Linked DNA regions of Struthio camelus. The main gene of each other region encodes a partner of the protein of the gene in region 3 in a complex. Links are inferred from orthologs where the notes say so. Each region holds a gene or a part of one and is shown on either strand. Other genes may lie near its edges.

Region 1 (7,476 bases), about 120 Mb from region 3:
AATTACTTTTGAGAAGTACTCCAGAAATATTCAGAAGTTGTTGTTTAACAACAGATTTACAATTAAAATACAACTCACTGTCCATTTCAACTAAAGCAGCCAGAGCATAGCATCCTAGTTTCAGCACAGCTTACTCCCAGCCTTGAAGTGCATCACTGTCCTCCGATCCCATTGCAAAGCCGCAGTGAAACCTCAGGTGACATGCAGAGCCACCTTTGAAGTCAGCACTTCTGTTTAGCTGTCTGGCTGCTCCCTTCGATACCGCACCAATAACCGCGTTTCATCGCTACAGCTCACTAGCGGATCGTAAGACCCCGATGAAACTGCTGAGGCCTCAGAATTTAAATTTCCTGCCGAAGAGACATTACGCAGCCCCGAACGCTAGCCTTTAGTAACGCAAGCACTGAAGCGGACCTAAACAACATACTGAAGCTAACGTTCTTTAAAACAAAACGCTGCAAGCCAGTGCAATGCAGACAGGAGCCCAGCGAGTGGGCACAGCGCAGGATTTCTCCTGAGCAAGGCGAGCGTGAAACCGCCCGACGCGTTCCCATCTCGCGACCGAGGCGAACGGCTCCAGTAAACAACCTCTCGGGACGCCACCCGCGCCGAGCCCTCGCCCCTGCCCCTGCCCCTGCCCCTGGCGCAGCGCGGGCACAGGGCGGCCCCCGGCTGGCCCTGCCGGCCTGCCCGGGCCCCACCGCGGCAACGGGCGGCCCCCCCCTCGGCGGCGGGGCCTCACACACGCCCCCCCACCAGCCCACACCCGCCCACGCGGGCGCGGCCCCCGCTGCCACTCCCCACCACCTACCCCACAGGCCGCCGCCGCCGCCGGTCCGGCGCGCGCCCCGCCGCCCCCACGCCGCGCGCGCCCGAGCGCACGCCGCCAACGCCGCGCGGGCCAACGCGCCCCCGGCGCGACGCCCCATCGGCCGCCAGGAGCCGGCGGCGCGCTGCCCCCCCCCCCCCCGACCCGGCGCGGCGCTGCCCTCCCCCGCCGCCCCTTACGCTGGCTCGGCGAGGAGGTGGGGCGGGCGGCCGGGAGGAACCAGGAAGTGAGCGGCGCCGCCCGGCAGGGCGCAGCCCCCTCCCCCCCGCCGGGCGCCCCGGCCCACGCGCGGGCCCCGGCCGCCGGGCTCGGCCCCTCCGCCCGCTGCTGGCCCGGGCGGGCGGCCCTGGGGAGGGAAAAATGCGGGGCTCGTGAGGAAAAAAACAGGTTTTAGCAAGGGGGGAAAAAAGACCGTCTATATAAGAAGTATGTTTGTTAGAAGGAAAAATACGTTTTTCAGAAGGAAAATGCAGGTCTTGGAAGACAAATACATTTTGTATACGGAATAAAAAATGGTTTGTGTAAGGAAAAAAACCCCACTTCTTGTATAATAAAAAAGTACTGAAAAATGAAGGGCACCAACGTACACAGCAGCCAGAACAAGGCTCCTGCTTCTGCCTTGCGCACCCTCCCACCAGCCTTGTGGGCTTGTAAGGCTTCAGGATAGGGGCTGCCCTCTGATCCCGCAATACCGGGCACGTCAGGAGTCATGCTGGACATACAAGAGTGGGGGTGCTAACGTTTCTTCGTCATATGCTTCTGTGCGATATCCACTGTCTGTATGCTGAAGGGTAAGCATGTATATACATGCATATGTATGTCACAACTGATGCACTTCCATGTTCACTCTTGAGCACAAGACAGATGGTTTGCAAATGTCCAAAACACTGAAACATCAAACAGGACAGAGCATATAACTGCAGGTGTAATCACTCCCAGGCACCTGCTTGTTATAGATAGGGCAGTTGTTAAGTTTGCTTGACACTCTCCATTTTAAGCCACTGTTTCCGATGTTTACAACTTCACCAAGCATTAATCATGCAGTGTGAATTTTTACATTCCAGGTGGTTCCCTCAGGCAGATTTAATTTTTCCATTTCAGCCAACACATGTCATCCATTTACCATAATGAGGTTAGAGAAAAAGACATTGCTTTGCCCTTGTTAACAAATCTGGCAGCCTTTTTCTCTGATATACCTTCGTTGTTGCTTTGCCTTGGATAAGGGTATTCAAGTGTACTAGGATGTGGCCTTCATGTCAAGCAGATGCCTTTTGCCATCCCTGAGAAAAACAAACCAGATACAGACTTACGCCTCTGGAAAATTGCTGTTCTCATGTGAACAAGGAAGATTTGCTAGCTAGGCATCTGAACTATGCAAGTATTTGACTCACTTTAGGCAGACTCCAAGCTGGGATGGCAGAGGGGAAGAAAAAGCAGTTTCCTTGCTACTGCAGTCAGCTGCTGTGGATGAAGCCAAGAGAAAGACAGAGCTAGGAGCCAGCATACAGTCTTCCCTGTGCTCCCAACAGAAAGCACAGGATGCATCTGCGTTAGCCCTTTAGTTCAGAACAGGAATTCACTTTTTGAAGGGACTCTCTCAATCACTTCCCCTTACTGTAGTGTGGTTTACACTGTCAAGTACTACAATGTAAGAAATGCACTGCTGGGTGACACAAAAGGTCCATCTGTGTTGGACAGCAGCATTAGCAGATGCTATTTAGGAAGAGCACGTGAGCCTGGCCCCTTTTCTTCAGGGTCATTCCCTTTCCCTCCTACTCCCCAGCCTCACAGCTGTTGGCAGGGACCAGCCCCAGGAGGAGGCCTGGCCCTGCTCATCTCCTCAGGGTCAGGGGGAGGGTGCTCAGGAACAGGGCAATGTACCCACAACACCGCCTACTGCCACAGGCCTACTGCTGCCTCTTTCCTCCCTGTCTTGCCCCCCTCCTGCTATTTTGCTAAAAATGAAAAGACTGGGTGCCTGCTCGCCATCCTGGAGGAGCTTGTGGCCCTGGGTCCAAGCAAGGAGAGGATGAGCCCCGACAGGCAGGCCCTGAGTAAAGCACAGAGGCAACCCTGGCGCTCCCTCCTCTCCCTGCTTCCCAAGAGCCCCTGCCCTGGGATGGCTGACTCACCCCCCTGTCCCTGTCTGCCAGGACCCAACTTCCTGGGCCAGCATCCATGGGGCCCTGGAGCCCCACAACCTTAGAGACTAATGAAGATCTTCCAGACGCAAGGCTGCCAGTGCCAAATTTGCCATGGTGCCCGGGGCCCCCTGACATGGGGCTCCCCCATCCCTCATGCCCCCGTCTTCCAACCCCCATGCATGCAGAGCAATGATGCACTACACCCACCCAGCAGCCTCCAAACTTCCCTGAGTGAGACCCCACTGCTGACCCTTTCTGCTCAAAAGTGATCAGTAATCCCAACTAAATAACCGTGGCATGCAGGAACGTGATTCTTTCTGGATGCAGATAAGCAATGGGAAGCATTCTAGAAATGTACCTACTATGCTAAATGAACGTTCAGCCCACTAAAGGGACCAGACCAGAGCTAATCCAAAGTAAAATTCCCAAAATGTGCTTCACTACAGGATAGCTGCCATTGCATGCTTCAGATTGCCTGCTGAAGTAGGCACAGCCAGAAACGCTTCGCACATCTGACTGACCAAGGAGTTTAGGGAAAGAGCACAGGAAACTTCTACAGAAGCTCTGGCTTTGTAGCGTGTCATGCAAGTCACTAGTCATCCTTGTAAGCCACGGGTCTTTTTTACCCAGCTATCTGTCAACATGAAGATATTGACAGATATGTCAATGTGAAGATATTTAATATTGCCAGATAGCAATATTAAAAATAATTCAAAAACTATACACAAGAGCTGTGCTAAGAACATGCAACTTACAACATTAACCACTTGTTGTTATGAAACACTCAATTAGGGCTGTCAAAACCCCTTAATTTAATTATTGGGTTAATATATAGTATGGGTTTTTAATTGCATTTCCCATACTACTTTCCCAGGGATATATGGCACAGAACCAAGAGCACTCTCCTAATGAGAACGCCTTGTTTTTTCCCCGCTCCTGCACCAACCTGCCCAGCATGCTGCAGCTCACGCAGACCCTTCTCCGAGGTAAAAAAACCTGTTTATTTTCTCATTCTTCTTAGGGTACTTATCACTGTGCAGGCCCTTCCCAAACGCTCGTGTATTTTCACAGCTTCTATGAGTAACTTTTACCTTGGCAAAGGGCAGGCAGAGAACGATGAACAACCCCCTTGGCCTATGACGAATTTGAGCTTCTCGGACGGGAAATTTTCCGGCGCACTGGCTGCTCAGCAGGCACCGTGTCCAGAGCAGTGCCCGCGACTGCCCAGGTGGGGCTGGAGCTCACTGCACCCCAACGAGACAGGCGCCTAAAGCCGGGAGAAACGCCCCCCATCGCCTGTCCCCCAGGAAAAGCTTCCGAGGAAAAAATAACGACTGCGCTCCCGACCTTGCCTGCAGGCAAGCGGGGCGAGGGGGAGGCAGGCGGGGCGGCGCAAAGTCCCCGCCATCAGGGGCGCGCACGGCCTGCCACGGGGCCACGACGGCGGCCCAGCCGCCCCAACGGCCGGGGCGCGCGCCGAAGGCAGTGCGCAGGCGCGGCGCCCGCCTCCCCGCTCCGACGGCGGCCGCGCTCCCCGGCGTCACGTGGGAGCGGAGCGGAGCGGCGCGCGCGCTCCCTCGCTTCCGCCCGCAACGGCCGCGGCGGAAGCGGAAGCGCGCGGCGTCCGCGGCGGCGGGAGCGATGGCGTCGGTGGTGCTGAGCGAGGCGGAGAAGCTGTACATCGTGCACGGCGTTCAGGTAGCGGCGGCGGGGAGGGTGGCCGGTGGTAGCGCTGCCCGGTGAGGGGCGAGGGCAGGACCGTCCGTCCCCCCCCACTCCAGGCCTGGTCTGCGTGAGCGGGCGTGCGGGGCGCTCCGGGACAGCGGCAGGCTGTAGGTGTCCTGCCTTGTTTCTCCCTTCCCTTTTTCTCCGGGGGGTGGTTTGTTTATGCTGGGAAAGAAAGCCTGGGTAGAGATGGGGCTACGTTGTCGAGGGGCTTTTTATTGTTATGACTTATGTGTGATAGTCTGCTTAAGGAAACTGTGCAGGTGTTACTGAAAATACAAATTTTCAGCAGAGTGTACTGCAGTAATCATCCTGACAGGTGTGCTCACTGTGGAATGCAAGCTGGGGAATGCTTATTATGCATGAAAGCCTCACTAGTATAATCTGATGTTTCAGGCTCTTTATTGTTTACTTCTGTGATATCAACAATGTTTTCAGCCCTGTAGCTCACTAATCATTTGTGGGGAAATGAGTTACAGTGTAGATTTTGTGGGTGGGGGGAAGCTTTCCATTATCTTGGGTCTAGGAGAGAAAGCTCTGGGATAATCACCCATTTGTGTCACTCTACCAGAGCTGTCACTAAACATACGGAGAGCAGACCATCAGAGCAGGGAGAAGATTGGCAGCAGGACATGGTTGTCTGGCAAAACTCAAAAAGAAGAAGGAAGTGTACAGAATGTGGAAAAGGGGACAGGCCACTTGGGAGGAATACAGGGACGTTGTCAGAGTGTGCAGGGATGCGACAAGGAAGGCTAAGGCCCAGTTGGAATTAAATCTGGCAAGGGATGTCAAGGACAACAAGAAGGGCTTCTTCAAATACATCAATAGCAAAAGGAAGACTAGGGAAAACATGGGCCCGCTGCTGAATGGGGCGGGTGCCCTGGTGACGAAGGATACAGAGAAGGCAGAGTTGCTGAATGCCTTCTTTGCTTCAGTCTTCACTGCTAAGGCCAGTCCTCGGGAATTCCAGACCCTGGGGACAAGAGAGGAAGGCTGGAGAAAGGAAGACTCTCCCTTGGTTGAGGAGAATCGGGTTAGAGATCTTTTGTCCAAACTTGACATCCATAAATCCATGGATCCCGATGGGATACGTCCACGAGTGCTGAGGGAGCTGGCGGATGTTATCGCTAGGCCACTCTCCATCCTCTTGGAAAGGTCCTGGAGATCAGGAGAGGTGCCTGAGGACTGGAAGAAAGCCAATGTCACGCCAGTCTTCAAAAAGGGCAAGAAGGAGGACCCAGGGAACTACAGATGAGTCAGCCTCACCTCCATCCCTGGAAAGGTGATGGAACAGCTCATCCTGGAGGTCCTCACTAAGCATGTGGAGGACAGGAAGGTGATCAGGGGTAGTCAGCATGGATTCACCCAAGGGAAATCATGCTTGACCAATCTGATAGCCTTCTATGACGGAATGACTGGCTGGGTAGATGAGGGCAGAGCAGTGGATGTTGTCTCCCTGGACTTGAGCAAGGCTTTTGACACTGTCTCCCATCACATCCTCCTAGGTAAGCTCAGGAAGTGTGGGCGAGATGAGTGGACAGTGAGGTGGATTGAGAACTGGCTGGATGGCCGAGCTCAGAGGGTTGTGGTGAATGGCGCAGAGTCAAGTTGGAGGCCTGTGGCTAGTGGTGTCCCCCAGGGGTCAGTCCTGGGTCCAGTCTTGTTCAATGTATTCCTCAATGACCTGGAGGAAGGGACAGAGTGCACCCTCAGCAAGTTTGCTGATGATACTAAACTGGGAGGAGAGGCTAACACACCAGAGGGCTGTGTTGCCATTCAGAGGGACCTGGACAGGCTGGAGAGGTGGGCAGAGAGGAACCTCATGAAGTTCAACAAAGGCAAGTGCAAGGTCCTGCACCTGGGGAGGAATAACCCCATGCACCAGGACAGGCTGGGGGCTGACCCTGCTGGAAAGTAGCTCTGCCGAGAAGGACCTGGGGGTCCTGGTGGACAACAAGTTGACCATGAGCCAGCAGTGTGCCCTTGTGGCCAAGAAGGCCAACGGTATGCTGGGGTGCATTAGGCAGAGCGTTGCCAGCAGGTCGAGGGAGGTGATCCTGCCCCTCTCCTCAGCCCTGGGGAGGCCCCACCTGGAGAACTGTGTCCAGTTCTGGGCTGCTCAGTACAAGAGAGACATGGAGCTACTGGAGGGAGTCCAACAAAGGGCTACAAAGATGATGAGGGGTCTGGGGCATCTCTCCTCTGAAGAAAGGCTGAGAGAGCTGGGCCTGTTCAGCCTGGAGAAGAGAAGACTGAGAGGTGATCTGATCAATGTGTACAAGTATCTGAAGGGAGAGTGTCAAGAGGATGGGGCCAGTCTCTTCTCCGTGGTGCCCAGCGATAGGACAAGAGGCAACGGGCACAGACTGAAACACAGGAAGGTCCATCTGGACATGAGGAAAAACTTCTTGACTGGGAGGGTGACAGAGCGCTGGACCTGGTTGCCCAGAGAGGCTGTGGAGTCTCCTTCCCTGGAGATATTCAAAACCCGCCTGGACACAATCCTGGGCAATGTGCTCTAGAGGACCCTGCTTGAGCAGGGGGGTTGGACTAGATGATCTCCAGAAGTTCCTTCCAACCTCAACCATTCTGTGATTCTGTGGTTCTGTACTTTTTTTCTCGTCCTCTCCCCCCTCTTCCCTTGCTCTTTCCCAAGTTTTTGCAGTCGTATAGCGCTTTAGCCTGTTACTAAGCTGGAGAGTAGTGCGTGGAGCAGGGAGGAAGAGTGAAAGACACGTGGGGAGAAGTGCCAAGAGAAAAAGGATTATACCTTCTACA
Region 2 (7,526 bases), on a different chromosome or scaffold from region 3:
GCCTCTGCATTGACCTGCTTGGGAGAATCCCATGAAAGACGGTCCTGGAGACAATGGGGATCCAGGTGGGCTGGCTGATTTTCAAGGGTCACCTGCTCCAAACTCAAGAACGGTTCACCCTGATGAGGAGGAACTCAAGCAAGGGCAGCAGGAGGCCTGCATGGTGTCAGGGAGTAGGAAGCCAAGCACAGTAACACGGCCGGCAGGGTATGGCCTTGCCAGTCAGGGCCCCACAGCACCCAAGCAAGGGAGCAGGGCAGACCTAGAGATTGTGGCCAGCTTCAACCACAAGTCCAGATCATCCAGCAAGTTCATGGTGAGGAGGCAGGGCCAAGGGCAAGCTGGGAAGTTAAACCGCAGGTCAGGGTCAGGATCAGGTCCAGCAACGGCCAGGCCGAGCTGTGGTGACAGGGCTGGGCAGAGGCCAGGCCAGGCTGTCAGCCTGCAGGTCAGGGTCCAGATCAAGGGGGCCATGGCCAGGCAGGGGCAGGGCGGTGACAGTGCTGGAGGCCAGCACCGCTATGGCATTGCTGGGGCAGGGACTGAGCCGAAATGGGGTCCTGGGCAGGGCCAGCAGGGCCTGGTAGTGTCCTCAAGGACCCGGCACGTGCATGAACAAGGATTCCCTGACAAAATCCAAATATAAAAAGTAAGCTTACAAGAGGTGGAAGCAGGGACAGGTGGCCTAGGAGGCATACAGAAACACTGTCCGAGTGTGCAGGGGTGGGTAAGGAAAGTCAAAACCATCTGGAATTGAATCTGGCAAGGGATGTGAAGGGCAACAAGATGAGCTTCCACAAGGACTTCAGCAGCAAAAGGAAAACCAGGGAAGACATGGGCCTGCTGCCGAATGCGGTGGGGACCTTGTGGCAAATGACATGGAAAAGACTGAGGTACTTAATGCCTTTTTCACCTTGTTCTTTACTGGTAAGATTTGACTCCAGGAACCTCAGGCCCCTGAGACCAATGGGCAGAGAGGAACCTCATCAAGTTCAGCAAAGGGAAATGCCCACTCCTGCACCTGGGGAGGAATAAACCCCTGCACCAGTACAGGCTGGGGGCCGACCAGCCGGAAAGCAACTCTGCAGAGAAAGACCTGGGGGTCCTGGCGGACAACAGGGTGAACGTGAGGCAGCAACGGGTCCTTGTAGCAAAGGAGGCCAACAGCTGCTAGGGCTGCATTAGGCAGACCGTTGCCAGTAGGTTGAGGGAAGTGATCCTTCCCCTCTACTCAGTCCTGGTGAGACATACCTGGACTGCTGGGGCCAGTGCTGGGCTCCCCAGTACAAGAGACACAGGGACAAACTGCAGTGAGTCCAGTGAAGGGCCACAAAGATGATTAAGGCCCTGGAGCATCTGACATATGAGGAGAGGCTGAGAGAGCTAGGACTGTTTAGCCTCTAGAAGGCTCAGGGGGATCTTATCAATGTGTATAAATACCTGATGGGGGGACAGAGCCAGACTCTTCTGTGGTATCCAGTGACATGACAAGAGGCAATGGGGACAAATGGAATTGTAGGAAATTCTATTTAAATATAAGAAAAAAAAAATTAACGTGAGAGCGGCCAAGCGCTGGAACAGGTTGCCCAGAGAAGTTGCACAGTCTTCATCCTCGGAGATATTCAAAACCCAACTGGGCACAGCCCTGGGTAACCTGCTCTAGCCAACCCTGCTTGAAAAAGGCAGGTTGGACTCTAGACAGTCTCCAGAGGTCCCTTTCAACCTCAGTAATTCTGTGGAAAAAAACCTGTCGTGCCAATGTAGGGGAAAACATCAAATTACCTTGTTTGAAAGTGAATGTACACCCTCAGATCACTTCAGTTCAGTCTCAAGTGTCATAACATGGAACCCTATAACCTGAACTGGTTGCATATTCATATATCCCCCTTACTGAATGTAATGCACGTATCCCACTCCTGGAAAGAAATTATTCTCACAAGGCTGAATGATTTTTTTCAGACAAGCTAATCTCTGATTTCTTGAGGTTTGGTAAGATAAGTAATGGCAGAGCTAACCCAATCTACTACGGAGAGAATTTACAATGACTGTAGGTAAATTCCCAATAATACAGTAAATGGAACATGTTACAAATGGAACATGTTCTCCAGAGTTCTCTTTGAAGATGGTGAGCCCAGTCACCTTCCTCTCACTTCCTGTAACCAAGATTAGCCAAATGGAAGATCACATTTGTGATCATAATGATATTGTGGAATGCTACCATTAGACTCCTACACTAAAAAACACAGAGAGAGCGAGAAAAGAGTAACACAACATTGTTCCGATTACCCTATTTGTTAGAGACGTAACTCAAAAGCACCGCCAAACACATTCTATTCACTGGGATGTAAAAAGATTCTAATCTCTTTTTAAATTATAAAATGACAAATATTCCACAATCCGGCTTCCAGCAAATACTATGACTTACTATGTGGATGAGAACGGACTCCTAGTAAGTATACTGACAAATACAAAATGATAGCACATAAAAGATGTAAGAAAAAACATTCAGAGAAGGTCATTTATGTGTTTACCTCAGGTTTACTTGAATATGCCAGAAAAGAAAATCTCCTCAGTGCAACTAAGCGTCTGAAATTTGTACTGAGTTTCTACGAATGCAACATACAGATCACGAGGCGACAAAAGAAATGCATCAGTGTTCTAGGAAAGGATTTGTATTAGCATGCTTGGCAAAAATAGTTTAAACTAGAAAGCCATTCAAAATACAAAGCCTACCTCTACATCCCACCTCTCTCAGAAGCTTGCCACTTTTGTTATTCAACTTACACGTTTCACCAAAAATTATTCTGCTATTAATTCTTAGAAAATAATTTCATTCTTATCAAATCTTAAGTGACGGCAAGTGATTAGTACCCAAGTTCTACATTTCATGTAAAAAGTCGCATCAGCCACAGCACTGCAGAACTAAGGGCTGAGTCTGCTAATAAGGAGCGAGCTTGGTCCCAGTGGAAGTGTTTTTCCTCAGTGATTTCAAAATGGCCAGAATTTAACCCCAAGTCTTCACTAATGAATGCCATCACTGAATTTAAACAAAGAATGAAAAAAAGCAAAACCATCAGAATCTCTACCCAAGTAAAATCTGCACCTCAAAGTCCAAGGGAAAAATAAAACAACCATGATGACAGTGGATGAGAGAAAACCTTGCTCCAAATGTTAATATATCTGTGACTAGACTAAAGCATGCAAGTATTAAACCATTTTGCACCTTATTGTTGCTTAACATGTAGTATCATTTAGGAAAACTATTGGCTTATCTTTGTCTCTACAACAAGAGGGCCATTACAATCTCTTGTTGGTATTCTTTTAGAATAAATATCGTTGATGATAAGCATTTATTATATCTTGAAAATATAAAACCAGCGCAGGTAGTCTTACAGTGCTTGTCCTCATTTGGCATAAACCGCAAGTTTCTGAATGCAACTCACTTGTTAGTTTGCACTAAACTCTTCTTAATACTTGTTAAGTGTGTTAACGAGCTTTAAAAATATAGTATCATGAAGATATTTCAACATTCCTACGCGAGAATATGTGCGAGTAACAGATTTTCTCATTTCAACTCAAACCAAAAGTAAAAACCACTTGTAAAGGCCTTGAGTTTTCACTTACAGGAGAAGCTTCAGAACAACAGGAAATGAATTCAAAGTTTTGTTGTACTTTTGTCTACAGTCCTACTCACCTTGCTACCGCTGCCAGCTTAGCTGCTTTCTACAGGCTGCTCTTCTTTGGCCTCTCTTTAGTATTCTGCCTGTCTTGAAGACTGGGCACTGCATCTGTATTAACCAATGAAAATATGAGAGATGGATTTTTTTAATTCCATATGAGTTCCCAGACAACAGAGCCTTTTGCACACATCCCCATAGCCTTTATTCCTTTAGTCACTAAAAAATGCATCGAGACTCATAGACACCACAATAACACCTTCCGAGGCCACCTGGGTCACCCCTTGTGGGAGCAGATCGCCAAACTATGGCTAAAACTTACTTTCTCAGCTACCAAACACTACTTTGTATGTATTTACGTTGCGACACGTTTCACTACCTTATGACCGTTTCAGGTCATTCCGACACAAATTTCACTAGCAAAGGTCTCTGTATCTCGGTTCTTACCAGAGTTAAAGCTTAAAAACATAGCAAAGACTTATGGAAGCATCAGAAAGTCTCCTCCACTGATTTAAAGTAGCATTAGTGACACCAATCAAAACGCAGATCAACAGAGATCAACTTAATGTGCAAATTCTCCAGAGGGCAAGTTTACAGGTGCAGAACATGATACTGAGATCAGTCACCGTATCAACCACCTTTATTAGCAGGCTTGGCCCACGGAGATAAACAGGTTTCTCTTAGAAGGAGTGTTTGCAGGAGGCTGTAAAGACTAATTCCCCTCTTGGAGCCTTTTCCCGGCGCCGCCCGGCGGCAGAGCCTCGTGCGAGGGGCGCTTCGCCTCAGCCGCGAGAGCCGTTAGAGCCGTTACGGCGCTTCCCGCCCCGCGGGCGGCTCGCGCAGCCGCCGCCGCGCGTGCGCCCCGGCGCCCACCGGCCGCCCCGTGATGACGCAGCGGCGCGCGGCCCGCACCGGCCGCCATGAGGGAGACGCCGTTGTCCAACTGTGAGCGGCGCTTCTTGCTGCGTGCTGTCCAGGAGCGCAAGGTGCCGCACCGGCCTTCCTCCCTCCTCTTCCTTCTCCTTCCCTCCCTGCTCTGCCCGTGGCGGCGGCGGCGGCCTGCCCGGCTCTCGCCGCCCGCGGCGGGCCCCTGGCCCTCTGCCCCCGCCTGCCCGCCCGCCCGCCCGCCGGGGATGGCGCCGTAACCTTGTGTGCGTTTCTCTCTGGCAGCGCCTGGACGGGCGGCAGAGCTATGACTACCGCAACGTGCGCATCTCCTTCGGCGCCGACTACGGCTGCTGCATCGTGGAGCTGGGGAAGACCAGGTAGGCGGGGGGGAGGGGGGGGGACTCGTCCGGCCGGGAACGAGCCGCCCGAGCTTGCCTTCGCTGCCCGGTGAAGATGGCTCAGGCGCTGCTGGCGCTCTCACTTTAAAACGTTACACTTTCCCAACCGGCAGAAGCAGATGAAACGCTCAGCATTGGATGAGAGGCGTTTGGAAGCCCACTGAAATCGCCATAAAGGGGTTTTAAGGGCCGAAGCCTAAAAGCGGTAGCAGTTCAGGAGTAAGAGCGTATGTGATAATTTGGAGTGGAAAGGAGAGGGAAAGGATGGGATTTCCGTGTTGCTGGTAGGTTAAGAAAAACTTAGCAATTATAGATACTGTTTAATTTTGCATACTGTTATTCAGTGACCTCATACATTTTGCAGTCTTCCACAAATCAGATGTCCCTTGTATGTATGGGGAAAAGTGGAGCATATGCACTTAAATAAACTTTTAGTTCTTAATTCTCATGTGTTTGATTCTGGTTTAATCCTAAAGTTTGGGACAATGTTTTAATGTCTGCGTTCAGTCCTTTCAATTAGAGACTAGCATTTAAACATGTATGACAGGGTAGAAACTGGGAGAAGACAGTACTGCAAAATAAAAGCCCAAATGCACATTTCTTCAGTGAATATATTTTGTTTCTAGTGGTAGGGTTTTTTTTCCTACTAAATTCTATGGCCTGGGGGTTTATTTCCCTCTGCAGGGTTCTTGGACAAGTCTCATGTGAACTTGTTCCCCCCAAGCCAAATCGGGCTGCAGAAGGCGTACTTTTCTTCAACCTTGAGCTCTCACCAATGGCTGCACCTGCCTTTGAGCCTGGCAGGTATGTAGCTTTCTTAAAAAGACTAAAAACAGGGCAACGTAAGAGCCACTGTTTTGATACATATAAATATGCAGTGCAATCATACACGATCTGGGATGATTTTATTTTAACAGGCAATCTGAATTACTGGTGAAACTGAACAGACTAATAGAACGATGCTTGAGAAACTCCAAGTGTATAGATACAGAATCTCTCTGCGTTATTGCTGGTGAAAAGGTATGGAGAGCTACCGATTTCCAGGTGGTTTTATACTAGAGGATGCGTATGGTCTGCTTTTAAGGTGGTCACTGCCTTGTTTACCAAGATTTTTCATCCTAACTTCTTAAGCCAAGAACTGAAGACTATCCCTTGCTTCCTTTAACGATTCAAAAGCTGAAAGCATTTTGAAAAATGACAGCTTCTGTGGAATCATGTTACAAATTACTGAGTTATTATGTATACTTTTTCTTAGGTTTGGCAAATTCGTGTGGACCTGCATCTGTTAAATCATGACGGGAACATTATTGATGCTGCTAGCATAGCAGGAATTGTAGCTTTGTGTCATTTTCGCAGACCAGATGTATCTGTACAAGGAGAGGAAGTAACTGTGGTAAGTTATATCAGCCCATAGTAAGTGCTGTGGGATCACAGTTAGTTGTTCCTCTCTGTCTGAGAGAGCAAAAATAAATGTTTATGTAAATAGATGAACTCCAAGATACATACTGCTTTAGGATAAATGTATTGCTGCAGAACATGTGAGAGGATAGTGAGTGAGCCTGCTGAATACTGAATTTTATCAACTTCAGCTTTGTGGGAACATTAATTGTAAAATATAAGTATTTTACAGAATGTGTTAACTGATGAGCAGTATTTCAACTGGATCAAATATGAGAATGAAGAATGCGCTCCATTTACCTGTGTAGGTAATAAACAGAAAGGATTACACAAGAATAGTTAGAAAGATTTTTGTTAATATTTAGATGACTAAAAGTTCATGTGCCTTTTTTTTTTTTTTTTTTGCTTTTTATTCCTTTAAATATCTTGTGTGAACAGTACATCCTTTTGAAATCAAATACGTGTTTTGTAAATAATTGTCTTCTGGCCAACTCTTTTTAAAGTACACACCTGAGGAGCGTGATCCTGTCCCTTTGAGTATCCATCACATGCCTATTTGTGTCAGTTTTGCCTTCTTCCAAGAAGGGTAAGCTTTTTGTTAAGTCTTTGACAGAAGCAGCCTATTGTCAATTCTACAATAAATGTAGAAGAGTCTTAACAATGTTTGTATTGATAGGCTGATTTCTTAAAACACTTTATCTGAAATGAGGTGTCACTGAGATACTTGGGTGTACTGCACAAGCTTAAGTAACCACTACCTTTCACAGACAACGTAGAAAACTTTCTTGGGTTGAAGGTGGGGAGGTATAATCATAATTATTTCCATTTAAACCTATTCTCCGGTTAGATTTTCTTGAGAATAGTAACTCGCTTGCCTTAAACTTTTAGTATTGCATTATATTCGAAAACTTGATTTTAGGACCTATTTATTGGTGGATCCAAGTGAAAGAGAAGAACGTGTAATGGATGGCCTCCTTGTAATTGCCATGAATAAACATCGTGAAATTTGTACCATCCAGTCCAGTGGTGGGATTATGCTATTAAAAGAGCAGGTAAATCTTTGCCTCAGCCAGTCTTTCTCTCAAATGTAAGCGACTTCCTATACTGTCATGTTGATACTGAAAAGTCCTTAACATTTTGAATCTAGGAAAACAATTATCCGTGA
Region 3 (6,681 bases):
GAAAACCTGAGGATTTTGTGATGTAATGAAGGCTTATCTTGACAAAAGTCAACAGCAAGTAAACCTTGGGGAAGGAAAGGTCCCTTGGAGCGCCGGGCGAGTGGACTGTGTCGGACTCAGGCTACCTACCTCCAAGGGGTGGAAATTTATTGTGACCGCAGTTGAAGCGTCGGGCGGTTTGGGTAATGTTTACCCCCACACACACACCATCGCCATCCAGATTGGGGATTGCAACAGGATTAAGCCAATGCTATAGTACACGCCCGATGCCACAAGAGATACAGCAAGATAATTGGTCACATTTTAAAAAGAAAATAGCACAAGAGTGGTGTCTCAAGCATGGAGGTAAGTGGACTTTCCACTGACCCTATCGACCTCAGAGTAATGGTATAGTAGAAAGATGGAACGGGTTGTTTAAACAACAACTCAGATGGTGTAAGAGTGGCTCTAATTGGGGAAGAAACTTAGGGGAAAAACTTAGGTGCCTTGAGCACCTCAGCGAGGCATCCCGGAGAGAGGTGAGAATTCAGCACCGTGGCTGGGAAACGCGGGGCTACTCTGCAGCGCTTTCAAGGGAAAGTAGATCTACGGGAGTGAGACGAGTCACTACTGAGGCTGGGATGGGAGCCAAGACCTATGTCGTCTTGTTCCCCCCCAGGAGCTGCCGACCTCCCGGACAAAGGAACGGGAACCGTCGTTCAACCTGTCTACGACGGAAAGCGTCTGCGTAGCAAGTACGTGAACTGTCGCGTAGGGATGACGTCTAGAAGGGAAGCCACGGCCTAGCCTTGCAGCTACTGAATTATCCCGTTTTGCTACTTGCTGTGCCATTAACTTTGATTTTGCTGTGTCATCGCCACAGAGGATGTCACTAATATCTAAGAGGACCCCTCGTGTATCCGACAGTTCTGATCCTTACTTTAGGAAATCCAGGATATAGCGCATAAACGTGGATGCACTCTGCAATAATCCAGCAAACACACACATGCTGGTGACTTCTTCTGTGACATGGGGTATGAGGCCCAACATATCTACAACCCACCAGTGCAGTAGTAAAAAAGAAGGTTAAAACCACCTGACCAACCTTACCGTCCACTTAATTGTTAGTAGTCCCTATCCAAGGACCTGGACTCGGTCCGGAGAAACGGCTACATTATAGAGGGAGACAACGTCCCCAGTGTGACCACGATACTACTGAAGGAAGGGTCTATTACATTTGCCCTCTTGCACAACTGTACCCATGCAAAAATATCAGAGAATGCCATCAAAGGGTGGCAAGGCCTGCAGGGAACAGAGCCGCTAGGACTCGTTACGTGTGCCACTTACCGGTCAAGCTCGCGGCTCGTGTGCCACGGAGGGCAGCAATAGCAATTGCCCAAGAAGTTCCCAAAAGATTAGCGTTTTTTTTTGCCGCCCCTGAAGTACGGGAATTTTACATTAAGAGTTGATGAGACACTGTTAATATTAGTAAGGTATATTTAAATCGCTCACAATGGACAATACCCATATGTGAGCAATGATATGAGTCCTGTTGGAAAACTCGCACAGTTAAGGATCTTTCCAGTGGTTTGGGAGCTGCTGGATTGGGCACAGGAGTGTTGAATTCCATGGACTTAGAGATTGTTAATAATAAAATGCCTAAACTAGGACAATTAAGCAAACAAGTTATAATTGGCCAGACCACGGATACAGTCAGTGGAACGGACACAACCACTAAAACACTGGCTATTGGTCTAAGTCCCTGGAAAAAGCTCCAACAGATTTTGAAGGAGACGTGTACCACCGTTCCCTGTTTCGTCTCCAACACCAGCCATGCCACTGCTTGTGTTACCACGCAAACCTTCGTTATAAATGAACACGAACAATAAGCCAATTGGAGCCACAGAGGAAATCCTGCTGTGTGAGGGACCCCATCACCGTACTGGTGTCAGGACCGGAGACACCAATTTACCAAAACTGAATACTCAGGGGTAGGAAGCAAGAGATGTCTGCTGAGACGTCTGGATCCATTTATTACCGCACTGTGAGTAAGGAAATCAAAGAAAGACCAATTTACCAATATACCTCACTGCCCGTTACCGTAGCTAAGAGTGTATGGGCTCCAGTTCAAGGAAGCAAATAGACTACAAACGTAATCTAATCGATACTCGCGGATGTGAACAATGGGGAAAACATGACCTGTACCGCCCTGAACGTTCGGTATCGCAAGAGCTTTGTTCGAGTAAAACCTCCTCGGGTACCTGCTGTTTAGACTCCTGCGTATGATGACGGCACTGTTGTACTTAAGGGAAAACCGGGTTTTGCTCTGCGATGGTCTATGCAATAATGGGAATATAAATAATAAATAAATAAATGAATGAATAGAACCATCGCTCCTGCCCGAGATCGCCGATGCAACGTTACGGCACTGGAAAGCTGTGAACGACTTTGTGGAAAGCGTAAAGCTGACCTCACACCGATGCTGGCGGAGTACTGGCCTACGACGGGGCAGGACCCGTAGGACCGCTATGGGACTCGGCGTGTTCTCAGATTGAGAACTGGAAACTCTCATCACCAAACATGAGGGAGCTGCTGCTTATCAAAGAAGGGGTGACTCTTGCTATCAAACATGATGCTGGCTGGATTGTGAGGACTGAAACAGAAATCAAACTGCTGGGCGTCACTGGTAGCATATTTCCATGGGATGCGCACCATTTCCACGGGATGGCAGATTGCATCTTACGTTACATCCTACGATCATGGTATTGTTCTGCATTTTATTATTATGTCGTTATGTTCGTATAGCCGAGTCTGTCACTCACCTCACCGTGTTGAAGGCAGGTATGATCAGCTGGTACCTGGTAACAAACCGTGAAGTTACGTTTAGGCGAAAGCGCTCAAACCTTTCCCCTAGCCTGACCCCAGCAAGGCGTGAGGAGTAACAGCACCTCCGCTCGCCGAGGCGGCGGGTTTGCGAGTCCTTTGGTCTGTCCCAAGCCGGGGGAGCGACTCCTGCTCCGCTTTGGGACGAACGCGGGGCTCGTGCCGAGGCCGGGTGCCCGCGGGGCGCACCGAGAGCAACGCGGGCGCCAGGCGCTCAAGGACGTAAGGAGCCGGGTCTGCTCTCCCGGCGGCGGCGGCTTTATAAGTAACCGCCTGTTAACACCTGATAAGACCGAAACTCTTTGGAAGTAAGCGTATCTTGGCGGAGCGCCCGAAACGAGCGAGAGGTGCAGGGCGCAGGGCCGAGCCGGAAGGCACGGCCCCGTCGGCCGAGCAGGAGGGGCGAGCGCTCCCGCCGTCGGCCCGCTCTCTGTTCTGCTCGTCAGCGCACGAAGTAGCGAATTAGCGAGTTGTGAGATTAGGCTGGTCTGTAGCAGAGGGATTAAGCGCTTGTTTGATTTCTACTCAACGAGCTCCCGCAGCGCAGCGCGGCTCACGCACTACCGTCGTCCCGCGAGCGGAGCGATCACGGGGCGGGGAGCGACGGAGAAATGAGGCAACCGGGGGAAAAAACACCAAAAAAACACCAAAAAAAGGAAGAAATGGCCCCGCTCCACCCCCAAGGGAGCAATCCCCAGGGCCAGAAGCCTCAAGGGTCGGCACTAGCAGGAGGCGGGGGCGGCCGGGGGCTCCGGGCAGACCGGGCACCGGGCGGGCCGCAGGGACGGGCGCGGCGCCGCCCCGCGGGGGGAACCGGGCCGGGCCGGGCCGGCCGCCCTCTCCGACCAGGCCGCGCCGCCATGGCAACGCGGGGGCGGGGCATGCCGGGAGCGGCGGCCGCGCCGCGGTGCGCGCTGGGAGCTGTAGTTCTGGCGGCGGAGGCGGCGCGCTGCTGGCCGGGCGGCCGCGCGGGGGCCGCCGGGAGGTGTAGTCCGCGCCGGGCGGGCGCGCGGGGGCCGCCGGGAGCGGAAGTCCGCGCCGGGCGGGCGCGGTCGCGGGGGCCGCCGGGAGCGGCATGGCGGCGCTGGAGCTGCTGTCGGACGAGGGCTACCGGGCCGACGGGCGCCGCGCCGCCGAGCTGCGCAAGGTGCGCGCCCGCATGGGCGTCTTCGCGCAGGCCGACGGCTCGGCCTACATCGAGCAGGGCAACACCAAGGCGCTGGCCGTGGTGTACGGCCCCCACGAGGTGAGCGCCCGCCCGGGCCGCCGTCCCTCTGGGCCTGCCGCGACCCCTGGCCGGGTGTCCCCGCCGTCCCCTCTGTCCCCTCCATCCCGGCAGGCCCGGGCGGGTGGACTGTCCCCGCTGTCCCCGCTGTCCCCTCCATCCCCCCGGACCGGCAGGCCCAGGCAGGTGGACCGTCCCCGCTGTCCCCTCCATCCCGGCAGGCCCAGGCAGGTGGACTGTCCCCTCTGTCCCCTCCATCCCGGCAGGCCCAGGCAGGTGGACCGTCCCCACTGTCCCCTCTGTCCTCTCCATCCCGGCAGGCCCAGGCAGGTGGACTGTCCCTGCTGTCCCCTCTGTCCCCTCCATCCCCGTGGACCGTCCCTGGTATCCCCGCCGTCCCCTCTGTCCCCTCCATCCCGGCAGGCCCAGGCAGGTGGACTGTCCCCTCTGTCCCCTCCATCCCCCCGGACCGGCAGGCCCAGGCAGGTGGACCGTCCCCACTGTCCTCTCTGTCCCCTCCATCCCGGCAGGCCCAGGCAGGTGGACCGTCCCCGCTGTCCCCTCTGTCCCCTCCATCCCCGTGGACCGTCCCTGCTATCCCCGCCGTCCCCTCTGTCCCCTCCATCCCGGCAGGCCCAGGCAGGTGGACTGTCCCCGCTGTCCCCTCCATCCCCCCGGACCGGCAGGCCCAGGCAGGTGGACTGTCCCCACTGTCCCCTCTGTCCCCTCCATCCTGGCAGGCCCAGGCAGGTGGACCGTCCCCACTGTCCCCTCTGTCCCCTCCATCCCGGCAGGCCCAGGCAGGTGGACCGTCCCCGCTGTCCCCTCCATCCCCTCTTTCCCCTCCATCCCCCCGGACCGGCAGGCCCAGGCAGGTGGACTCTTCCTGCTGTGCCCTCTGTCCCCTCCATCATCTCCGTCCCCCTAGGGCCAGCAGGCCCAAGTGGCCAGGTTTGTCCTCTCTGTCCCCTCCTGTCTCCCCTCCGGGCCCAAGAGGGAGCCAGGCAGCTTGCTTTCCCCCACCCACATCCTACCCGCGGTCCCAAGCATCCCCTGTTCCCCCCCCGCCCCGCCCCAGCCAGAAGGGACCCAGGTGTCTGGGCCCCCTGGGGCTGGAGCCCACCCTGGCCCCTTTGCAGATGCGCGGCTCCCGCAGCAAGGCCCTGCACGACCGGGCGCTGGTGAACTGCCAGTACAGCATGGCCACCTTCAGCACCAGCGAGCGCAAGCGCCGGCCCCACGGCGACCGCAAGTCCAGCGAGATGACGCTGCACCTCAAGCAGACGTTCGAGGCCGCCATCCTCACGCAGCTCTACCCCCGCTCCCAGATCGACATCTACGTCCAGGCGAGCCCCGGGGCCGGCGGGGGAGGGACAGCCCCTCGGTGGGGGACAGGGGTGGACGGGGAGGGGACGGTCCGTCTGCGGGGCGGGCTGTGCCCTGCTCGCTCCGGGCCTCGGCCCCAGGGGTGCCGGGGGCTGGCTCCAGCGCTGAGCCTGCCCTGCCGCTCCCCCAGATCCTGCAGGCGGACGGGGGCAACTACTGCGCCTGCGTGAACGCCGCAACGCTGGCCGTCATCGACGCCGGCATCCCCATGCGGGACTACGTGTGCGCTAGCTCGGCCGGCTTCGTGGAGGACACCCCGCTGGCCGACCTCAGCTACATAGAGGAGGCGTCCGGGGGGCCGCAGGTGGCCCTGGCCCTGCTGCCCACGTCGGAGCAGATTGCCCTGCTGGAGATGAACTCGCGCCTGCACGAGGACCACCTGGAGGAGGTCATTGAGGCGGCCAGCAAGGCCTGCAAGGCCGTGCACGCCATCCTGGACCAGGTGGTGCGGGACCACGTGCAGGAGGTCACCGCGCTGCTGGGGGACTGAACCGGGCCGCCCCGGCCGCGCGTCCCCTCGGCGCCCTCGCGCTCCGGCTGCGCGGCGCGGCCGGGAGCGCCGCCACGGGCGGCTTTGCTGACGGTGTCGGTGGAGCCGGGGTCCGCGGGCCGCGGCTCGGCCCGGTGCCGGCAGGTCCCGCCCTGCGGAGTCCGTCCTCAATAAAGGGCTGCTCGGCCGCGGTCGGCGTCTCTTCCCTCGAGGGCGCTGGGGCGATGCTTGCGAGGCCCCTGGCGGGGGACCCCTCCTCCCTCGGCCGCGTCCCGCCATCCCGGACGGAGCCTGCCCGGCCCGGCCCGGCCCTGCCGGCGCCTGTTTCCCCTTCCCTGCTACCGTGGGAGCCCGGGTCCCGCCAGTCTGCGGACCGAGGCCTCGGGGAGGGACGCCCAGCGGCCCTGGGCACGGCAGGGCCCTGCGCTCGGCCGCCGCTCGCTCGTCTTGGGGGGGCAATCCCCGGGAACGCCGCAGCCCCACGGCCCGGCACGGCTGTGTGGTTCTGCGAGCCGTTGCTCGCACCCACCCCCAACACTGCACGGCCTGGCCGGGGGGGTGGGGGGTGTTGCTTCCCCCTTGCCCCCTTGCACAGCCTGGCCGGGGGGGCCATTGCTCTCCCCCTTGCAGGGCCTGGCCGGAGGGGGCTGCTGCACATGCACTCCCCCTTGCAGGGTTTGGCCGGGGGGGGGGCCGTTGCTCCCCCTTGCAGGGCCTG
Region 4 (7,707 bases), on a different chromosome or scaffold from region 3:
AGCTGTGCCCAGTTCTGGTTATCACCTCCTTGTTCTGTGCAGGAGGGGGGAAGCTAGGATACTCTCTGCACTTGCTACTGCTGTGGAGAGGCCCAAGAGGAGCCAAACTCTGCAGCGGAGAACAACAGCCAGAGCACCCTGCTGATAGTCTTTATTGCAACAAAGCTGCTAGGCACTCCCCTGCACCACTAGTGGCCTGGAAACAGGCATTTAGCTCCCTTGTGCCTGCACTGCTGTGGGAGGTCATCCCCTCCAGCAACTCCACTGCTGCTCTACAGGAGCCAGCCCAGCTGGCTAGGGGCAGCTGGAGCAATTCCTCTGGACAGTAACTGAGCAGAGCAGAAAGCTCTTGGAAAATATTTATTATGCACAGCACAAATATAAAATCCATCCTGGGAGGGAGGGCCTGGCTGGCTCTTCCAACCTCTGGCAGGTGCAGAGCTGAATGCAGGAGGCTCAAATCCAGTGGTTCCTTGGGCCACAGCAGCCCCTGGAGGGTGGTGGCTAGCAAGGCTCACTGCAGGCTCCAAGGGGCGCAAGCCAGCTGCTGCCAGCCAGCGACAAGCCATGCCCCATTGGGCTGGCAGGGCTGCTAGGTCTGCAGGAACTCGGGCTGCACGCGGGCCACCTTGCGGAAGTCCTTGGTGTGCGTCCGTGGGCACTGCATCTCGCACCAGCTGATAGGCACCATCTGCACCCCTAGGAAGCGTGGCAAGTCAGTGGCTGGTTTCTCAGCACCGCCATCCCTGTGCTGTGGTGCCTTACCTCCCTCCACACAGTGTCTGGGCTAGGCCCCTCTGACTGCCCCAGGGAGCCAAGGGGGCTGTGTGGGTTCGTGCCCAGAGGGCATAGCTCTGGCCTCCCAGCTTTAAGGCAACAAAACCCCTTTCTGCTCCCACTGCGTGACCACCCACCCATCTCTGCTAATAGCCACAGACCTTCACTTGTATTCCTTGTTTCCAACGGTCCAAATCCCTCCTCCCAAGGCCCTTGGGGCCCATGAGGTTCAGCAGCACAGGGGAGGAGGGTGCTTCTGCTCTCTGAGCTGCATCAGCTGCTCCTCACATGGGGCGAGGCAGAACTGGCCGAGCCTGGGCCCTGCTGCCTGTTCCTACCTGCTTCGCTGCGAGCCACCACCACACCCAGCTCGTTCTCCGCCGTGCTCAGCAGGTAGTTGGACTGTGCATCCCCCAGGGAGATCTGGTTAGAAACGGGTTAAGGGAAAGGCCTCCCTGAGGGGACTCGAGCGCAAACCCTCTCCCCCATGCGGGCCCTCCCGGTGCGAGGGCAAAGGATACGACTTTGGCCAGGACTATGTCACCAGGGCGGAAACTCTTGTAAACTTCTACCTGCATGGGAGAGAGGAGACACAAACACACAGTGTGTGGGGGAGCCTGTCAGTGGGGGCATGGCAGGGCAGCCATGGCAGCTGCCCCACAGCTGGGGCAGGACAAGTGCCACCCTGCCAACAGAAAGGAGTACAGGAGGCTGAGCACATGCCAGGGTTGCTGTGGTAGCCCAGAAACTGGCAGTGCCTCACTGACCTTGTCTTTCTCTGTGGCTCGAATATCTTCTCTCCTAGAAGAGGAGACAGAGGGATCTGAGCACCGGAGTGAGCAAACAGGACTCCCCACCCCGCTGCAGGAGTTTCCCCAGCCTCTGTCAATGCCCACCAGGGCTTGCTGGGCATCTTGCCGGCACTCGAGGCAGAGCTCCTGCCAAAGGCTTCGCCTGGCTGGCAGGGACCAGAGCCCAGGCAAAGCAGTGCAGAAAACCCTTCTGCTCATGTTGAGGACGGGCCATTTGGGCACTAGGCCTTGCTGGGAATCCAGCCCTTTCCCTACCGTATGGTTCCCCGGAACGTGGACTTCAGGGGTGTGGAGCCGATGTACAGGATGTGCACCTTGGCAAAGCGGGAGTTAATGCTGCAAACCTGCCAAGAGGAAGAGCTGGGAATCAGTGCCAATCCAAGCGTGGTCTGACCCCAGCACGCCTTCCCCAGACATCCATGCACCAGGACAGGTATAAGGCAAGGGTCCTGCTGCCCATGGCTGTACATGAGAAGGTAGTGTCCCAGGCCCCCCCAGCTCTGTGTACCCAAAGGAGCCGCAAAGGAGAAGGGATACCCAACAGCAAGCCAGCAGGAAAATGGCACTTGTACACCTGAAGAGTGCACCAGGCTCCACAAGCCGTGGGGCAACAAGGTTTGCCAGGTCTGCCACTGCAAGGCTGGCATCTCCCTCCTGCACCCAAAGGGCCCTCCTCCTCAGAGCACAGACCTGCACACACTCCAGTGCCCTACCTTGCATGTCACAACGGCCCCCACATCAGGCAGGAGCTGGGACTCAGCATCTCTCACCACAGACACAACAGGCAGCTGCACGGGAGCAGACGCGAGGGTTAGCTCAGGGCACGATGCACGGCTCACGCACATGGTCGTGCTGGACCATGCTCAGAGCACACACTGGCTGGACAGCCGGAGCCCAGCTGCCCAGGGCAGGCAGCGGGCTGGGAAGGGGCTGCACAGCCTCCTCTGGGGAAGGGCAGTGCGTGCCACAGCCATGCTCACCCCACTCTCCTCGCTCCTCTTCTCCAGGCAGCCAGCCAGCGACGCGAAGATGAAGCCGTGCCGCGTGTAAGTCCCACTGCCGGCGCTGGCTTCCCCGGTGCTGCACAGCCGCTCGCCTGCGGGACGCGCGCGCAGCCTGAGGCCGGCGCCGGCAGAGGCCGCCGGGGCTCGGGCCGTGCTGCCGCCGCCGCCGCCGCCAGGGCCCCTTCTGCAGGGCGGCCCTCTCCCCTATCCCCAGAGCCCCCCGGGCCTGCCTCCTCGCATGCCCCGGGGGGCTCCCCACCACCTCCTTCCCGGCCAGCCCTCCCCGAGCCGCCTAGGCCCCGCGGCGGAGCGGGCGGGCCGGAGCCTTGCACTCACCGGGGACGCAGTACCGAGCCGGAGGCGCCATGCTAACTACTCGCAGTGCACCCGCAGAAAGCCCTCACTCTATTGGCCCCCGGCAGCAAGACCCTGCCGTAAGCGGCGCTACTATTGGCTCGTGCCGGCCCTGCCCAGAGCGCTGGCGCGCTGCCCGCTGGGAGTTGTAGTCCGGCGCCCGCCGAGGGGGCGCTTCCCGGCAGGCCCCGCGCGGCCAGCGCGCAGGCGCAGTGTGCGGGGCGGCGGGAGCTGCCCGTGGGCAGAGGGCGGCGGGCCGCCGGGCATGGAGACGGCGGGCGGCGGGGCCGCAGGTTGCTGGCACGGGGGAGCGGGGCCCTATGGGCTGGGCTGGGCAGGGCATCACTGAGGGATGCCATGGGCCTGGAGGGGACCTGGGTGTCAATGGGGGATGCTGTTGCCTGGAGGGGGCTGGGTGCTGTGGGGCTGGGAGTGAATGGGGGGGGGGTTATGGGCCTGGAAGGGCTGGGTGATGTGGGGCTGGGAGTCGGTGTGAGGGTGCCACGGGCCTGGAGGGGGCTGGGTGCTGTGAGGCTGGGAGTGAATGGGGGGGTGCTATGGGCCTGGAAGGGCTGGGTGCTGTGGGGCTGGGAGTCGGTGTGAGGGCCATGGGCCTGGAGGGGGCTGGGTGCTGTGGGGCTGGGAGTCAGTGGGGGGATGCCATGGGCCTGGAGGGGGCTGGATGCTGTGGGGCTGAGAGTCAGTGGGGGGATGCCATGGGCCTGGAGGGACTGGGTACAGTAGGTAGGGGGTGCTGTGGGCCTGGGGAGTGAATAGGGGTATGTCATGGGCCTGGAGGGGCTGGGTGCTGTGGGGCTGAGGAGCCTAGGTGCTATGGGGCTGAGGGCTTTGTGCGGTTGGCATGGGCAGCCTTTGTGTTATGTTGCTGGGTGCTGAAGGAGGGTGACTCGGAGCTGGAGGCTGCGGGGCATGGGTGCTACTGGAATGGGGGAGCTGGAAGCCAGCAGAGGGTGCCACAGGGCTGGGCTCCGCTAAGCTGCAGCCCCGCAGGGTCTTGCAGGCCTCGCCATATACCTGGGGTAGGGCCTTCCCTAAAGCTCTCTCCTGCTTCTTGCTGTTTTGATGCCTGTGGTGTCCGGCTTGGCCATGCTGGAGGTTGCTGCTGCCCCTTCCCTGGCGGGGAGATGGCCGTGCTTGTGTGGCTCGGCTCCTCAGGGCCATGGGCATGGCAAGGGCTGGAGCTCTGGTGCCAGAGCGAGCCTGTGGTGATGCACGGCTCTGCTGGAGCCTCGTCGTTGCTGTCTGCAGGGGGGAGCCCCGGGGCAGAGGGTTCCTGCCCTGTCCCTAGGCAGCTCGGGCTGACTGCCTTCCGTGTGCCCCTCCAGCTCGGCAGCCACCATCTGTCAAAGGCGAGGCAATCTCTTTAATCAGAGCCTGGCAGTCTTGGGGGGAGCGGGCTTGGCAGGCATATATGCTGTGGGTTTGGAGAGGAGGGCCGGCCCCAAGACCTGCCCCGGCTGCAGCGTTTTACCCTTACTTAGACTAAAAAGATGGGGACAGATGCCACCCAAAGGCTATGCAGCTGAAAGTGCTAATCCACTTCTAATATGTTTCAGAGGAAAACTCTTGGCAGAGTCTAGAGAAAACGTAGGGTAGGGGGTGGCACTGGGGCTTGCTCATCCCACCCCCCCATTACCAGAGTGCAGGAGAAGTAGGAACCTGGGGAGGAGTCATGCTTATGGCCTGTGGCGGATTGCTGGGTCTGGTGGGTCTGACACCCTGATGTCCAGCTGCTCCAAGCCTTGGAGTCAGCCCTACACTCGTCTGGGCAGGGCAGGGCAGGGCAGGGCAGGGCAGAGGGGAGCCCCTGGCTCCTTTGGACAGCCCGTGTGGATGTTGCAGCTCCTGACCTTACCCTCTCTGCTGCTCCCCAGGGGCTGTCCCCTGCCAGTTCCTTCTGGTGTGGCAGCATGTTGGTGGCAGCAGGTATCGTGGCACAGGGAGCTGGTCCCCGCTGGACAGGCTCTGCTGCGGGTGGCACCTTCCTGCTCCCTCCAACTGGCGTGGGTCCCCCGCGGGTTGGGAACTGAGATGGCCTGGGCTCCGTGGTTTGGGCACAGGGCAGCGCTGGGCCCAGCAGCTCTGCTGTCCTGTGGGTCCCGTCATCACGCTGCTTTAGCCGCACTGGGGATGTGGCTGGGTGTTCCCAGTATTAGGGAGTGGAGGTGTTTGGAGGATGGGGGAGCAGCAGGCTGGAGCCAGGCGAATGCTGCTTTAGACCTGGCTCCGTTGCCTTGTGTGGCGAGTCCTGCCTGCCGAGGGGCAGCTCTGTGCCTGCCTCGCCTGGTGCCAGTGGGGAGCTGGAAACAGCAGCTGAGAGAGATTAGGGCAGTTTTTGGGGCCAGGGTGGCTGCGGAGCTGTCGTGAGTCGTGTGGGGGACAGGCTCCGTGGCAGCATGCGGCACTGCTGCCTGGCACTGTGCTGGGGCGAGTGCCTGGCCCAGGCTCGGAGAGTGCCTTCGCAGGACCCTGGGGTGGCCTCACTCCTGGTTAATATTGATGGGCCATGCCTGCACGGAGGCCTCGGGGCCCCGACCCAGCAGATCGTTTGCCTCGTTGCTGGGCCAGCTCGGGTTCCTCCTCGCTCCTAGCACGGCTCTCGGGTGGGATGAAGAGCTCAGCAGGCAGGTGAGCTCTTGGCTGTGAGGGTCTCTTTTCCTGCACAGCATCATGTCTGCCTGTAGCTTCCCAGGGTCAGACCAGCCTGTCCTTCACTGTCACGTGGGGTTATCTGAGGTGAAACCAGGCAAGGGGAAGAGGGGAAGCTGTGGGTCTCCTGGAGTGGGGCTGTGAGGTGGGGAACAGCTCCTGAGGCTTGGTCTGGAGGTTCGAGCAAAGCGAAGCAACGTCCAGGCCCTGCCCTCTGGGGGTAGCAAGGTAATCTTGGTGTGGGTCCTCTGTGCTTGTCTTCTGAGGACTCCCCCAGTCCTGAACTGGGCATGAGGGACTGGGCCTGGGATTGTCCCTTGTCTCTGAGCATCCTTGGTGAGCCCCTGCCCTGGAACTGGCCCAGCATCCTGAACACTTGCGCCTTCTCTGGTTTCCTCTGAGTCAGTCTCTCCGTCTCACTATCCTGGCCCCCTCTCCTCTGGGAAAGACGAGATGGGACTGGAGAGCGTCTACACCCAGCCGTGGAGGGCTGAGGGACCTGTGTCCCCTGCTGCAGCCCCACGGCCTCCAGGAGTGTGGGCTCAGCTCCTCCTACTCCTACTCTGCATCCTTGTGTGGGACATAGGAGAGGTCCTGGCTCTGCTGTGCATGCAGGTGTCTAGCAGGGTTGGTGCAGGGAGCTGGGGTGTCACTCAGGGCTCTGAGAGGGTGCAGGGAGCTGGGGTGTCACTCAGGGCTCTGAGAGTGGCACCAGCACTTCCAGGAGGGCAGAGCCTCTCCAGGGAGTCCCCAGCCCTTGCTGTGGGACGGCTGGGTGCCTGGGCAGTGCAGCGGCCTGCCCATGCTAAGCGTCTCTCCTCGCAGGTGCGGCACGGCAGGGATGAGGAGCCGGCAGCGGATGTTTGCGGCGGTGATGCGCCTGCTCCTCAAATGCCTGCGGCTGGGCCGGCGGCGGCGGTTTAAGCTGGTGCGGCAAGTGGAGCAGCTGTGGCACTACGGGCGCCTCTGCCTCCGTTCCTTGCTCTACAACTCCTTCACCAACAGCGACGTGGTGCTCGATTCCCTCTTTGAGCCTGTCTACTGGCTGGTGGACCACGTCACCCGTTGGTTCGGTGTGGTGAGTGTCCCCAATGGGGAGGGGTGCTCCTGGGGCAATTGAATCTTACCCCTGCAGGGACTGAACCGGCTGCCTGCACTGGGCTTGATGTGTGCTGTGCTTAGCTGGAGGGAGTGGGGGCTTTGGCTTGTGGTTCAACTCGTCTTCCCGTGCCTGAATCCTGCCTTGGTAGAATGGGGCAGGTGCTGCGTGCTCCCGTGACTCAGTTCCCTTTCCCATAGGTGTTTGTGGCACTGGTGATTGGGCTGACAAGCTCCATAGTGGCCATTGTGTACATCTGCCTGCTGCCCCTCATCCTGCAGACCTACACACCTGCCTGGATATGCTGGCACCTCGCCTACGGACACTGGAACCTCCTCATGATCGTCTTCCACTACTACATGGCCATCACCACCTCTCCTGGACACCCACCACAGGTGAGGCCAGGCCTGGGCACCAGTCAGCAGCCCAGCCTCTCCCGGGAGCAGGACCAGCACCAGCTGTAGGGGAAGCTCTGGGCTGCTCCCCAATTTGTGCTGCAGACGACTGCTGGGACCAGCCAGACCACCCTGGGGGCATCACTGCAGGAGCCCTCTTCCAGGATGGGGCGGCTGAGGCTGGGCAGTGCTGGGGCGGGGGAGTGATGGAGAGGTTGGTGGGGGGCAGGTAGTGGGCTGTCCCCAGTGCTGTTTAGGGCTCGCTCAGAGTCATAAGGGAGGTGAGGAGCATGGGAACAAAGTGCTGGAAGTAGGGGACAGGGCAGGGCTTGGGGGCACCAACCCTCTTCTGTCCTGTGTGCAGGCCAAGGACGATCTCACCGGCGTCTCCATCTGCAGGAAATGCATTGCTCCCAAGCCAGCTCGCACCCACCACTGCAGTATCTGCAACAGGTAGGGTCCCTCACCGTGCCCCACTGCCACCTGCACCAGGTAGTGCCCACAGCAGCCTGCTGTGCCCGTGCTGCTCAGGGCAGCTTCTGGGAGGCCTCTTCCCCCGCCACTGCCGCAGTACTGCAGGAGCTGGGCCCCTTCCC

Evidence for each region.
Region 1: EXOSC4 (region 3) and EXOSC7 share a complex: the UniProt entries of both Homo sapiens proteins name them as parts of the RNA exosome core complex. The link is inferred for Struthio camelus from reciprocal best matches to the Homo sapiens genes EXOSC4 and EXOSC7.
Region 2: EXOSC4 (region 3) and EXOSC9 share a complex: the UniProt entries of both Homo sapiens proteins name them as parts of the RNA exosome core complex. The link is inferred for Struthio camelus from reciprocal best matches to the Homo sapiens genes EXOSC4 and EXOSC9.
Region 4: EXOSC4 (region 3) and EXOSC1 share a complex: the UniProt entries of both Homo sapiens proteins name them as parts of the RNA exosome core complex. The link is inferred for Struthio camelus from reciprocal best matches to the Homo sapiens genes EXOSC4 and EXOSC1.

Annotation. Positions count from the first base shown.
Region 1 is NC_090943.1:50,965,416-50,972,891, reverse strand, and holds the start of EXOSC7 (exosome complex component RRP42), read left to right. Parts: upstream 1-4,463; 5' UTR 4,464-4,614; coding exon 4,615-4,671; intron 4,672-7,476. UniProt on the Homo sapiens protein: Non-catalytic component of the RNA exosome complex which has 3'->5' exoribonuclease activity and participates in a multitude of cellular RNA processing and degradation events.
Region 2 is NC_090945.1:19,634,096-19,641,621, reverse strand, and holds the start of EXOSC9 (exosome complex component RRP45), read left to right. Parts: upstream 1-4,514; 5' UTR 4,515-4,597; coding exon 4,598-4,663; intron 4,664-4,823; exon of another isoform or gene 4,824-4,847; coding exon 4,848-4,942; exon of another isoform or gene 4,943-4,957; intron 4,958-5,647; coding exon 5,648-5,767; intron 5,768-5,880; coding exon 5,881-5,983; intron 5,984-6,218; coding exon 6,219-6,356; intron 6,357-6,864; coding exon 6,865-6,947; intron 6,948-7,280; coding exon 7,281-7,413; intron 7,414-7,526. UniProt on the Homo sapiens protein: Non-catalytic component of the RNA exosome complex which has 3'->5' exoribonuclease activity and participates in a multitude of cellular RNA processing and degradation events.
Region 3 is NC_090943.1:173,041,269-173,047,949, reverse strand, and holds EXOSC4 (exosome complex component RRP41), read left to right. Parts: upstream 1-3,881; 5' UTR 3,882-3,937; coding exon 3,938-4,108; intron 4,109-5,226; coding exon 5,227-5,433; intron 5,434-5,603; coding exon 5,604-5,963; 3' UTR 5,964-6,173; downstream 6,174-6,681. UniProt on the Homo sapiens protein: Non-catalytic component of the RNA exosome complex which has 3'->5' exoribonuclease activity and participates in a multitude of cellular RNA processing and degradation events.
Region 4 is NC_090948.1:16,978,392-16,986,098, forward strand, and holds EXOSC1 (exosome complex component CSL4), read right to left. Parts: upstream 3,017-7,707; 5' UTR 2,961-3,016; coding exon 2,930-2,960; intron 2,686-2,929; coding exon 2,570-2,685; intron 2,378-2,569; coding exon 2,303-2,377; intron 1,934-2,302; coding exon 1,845-1,933; intron 1,579-1,844; coding exon 1,545-1,578; intron 1,350-1,544; coding exon 1,299-1,349; intron 1,201-1,298; coding exon 1,116-1,200; intron 700-1,115; coding exon 593-699; 3' UTR 348-592; downstream 1-347. Other genes in the region: palmitoyltransferase ZDHHC16, read left to right, coding at 5,475-5,596, 6,443-6,695, 6,917-7,111, 7,476-7,564. UniProt on the Homo sapiens protein: Non-catalytic component of the RNA exosome complex which has 3'->5' exoribonuclease activity and participates in a multitude of cellular RNA processing and degradation events.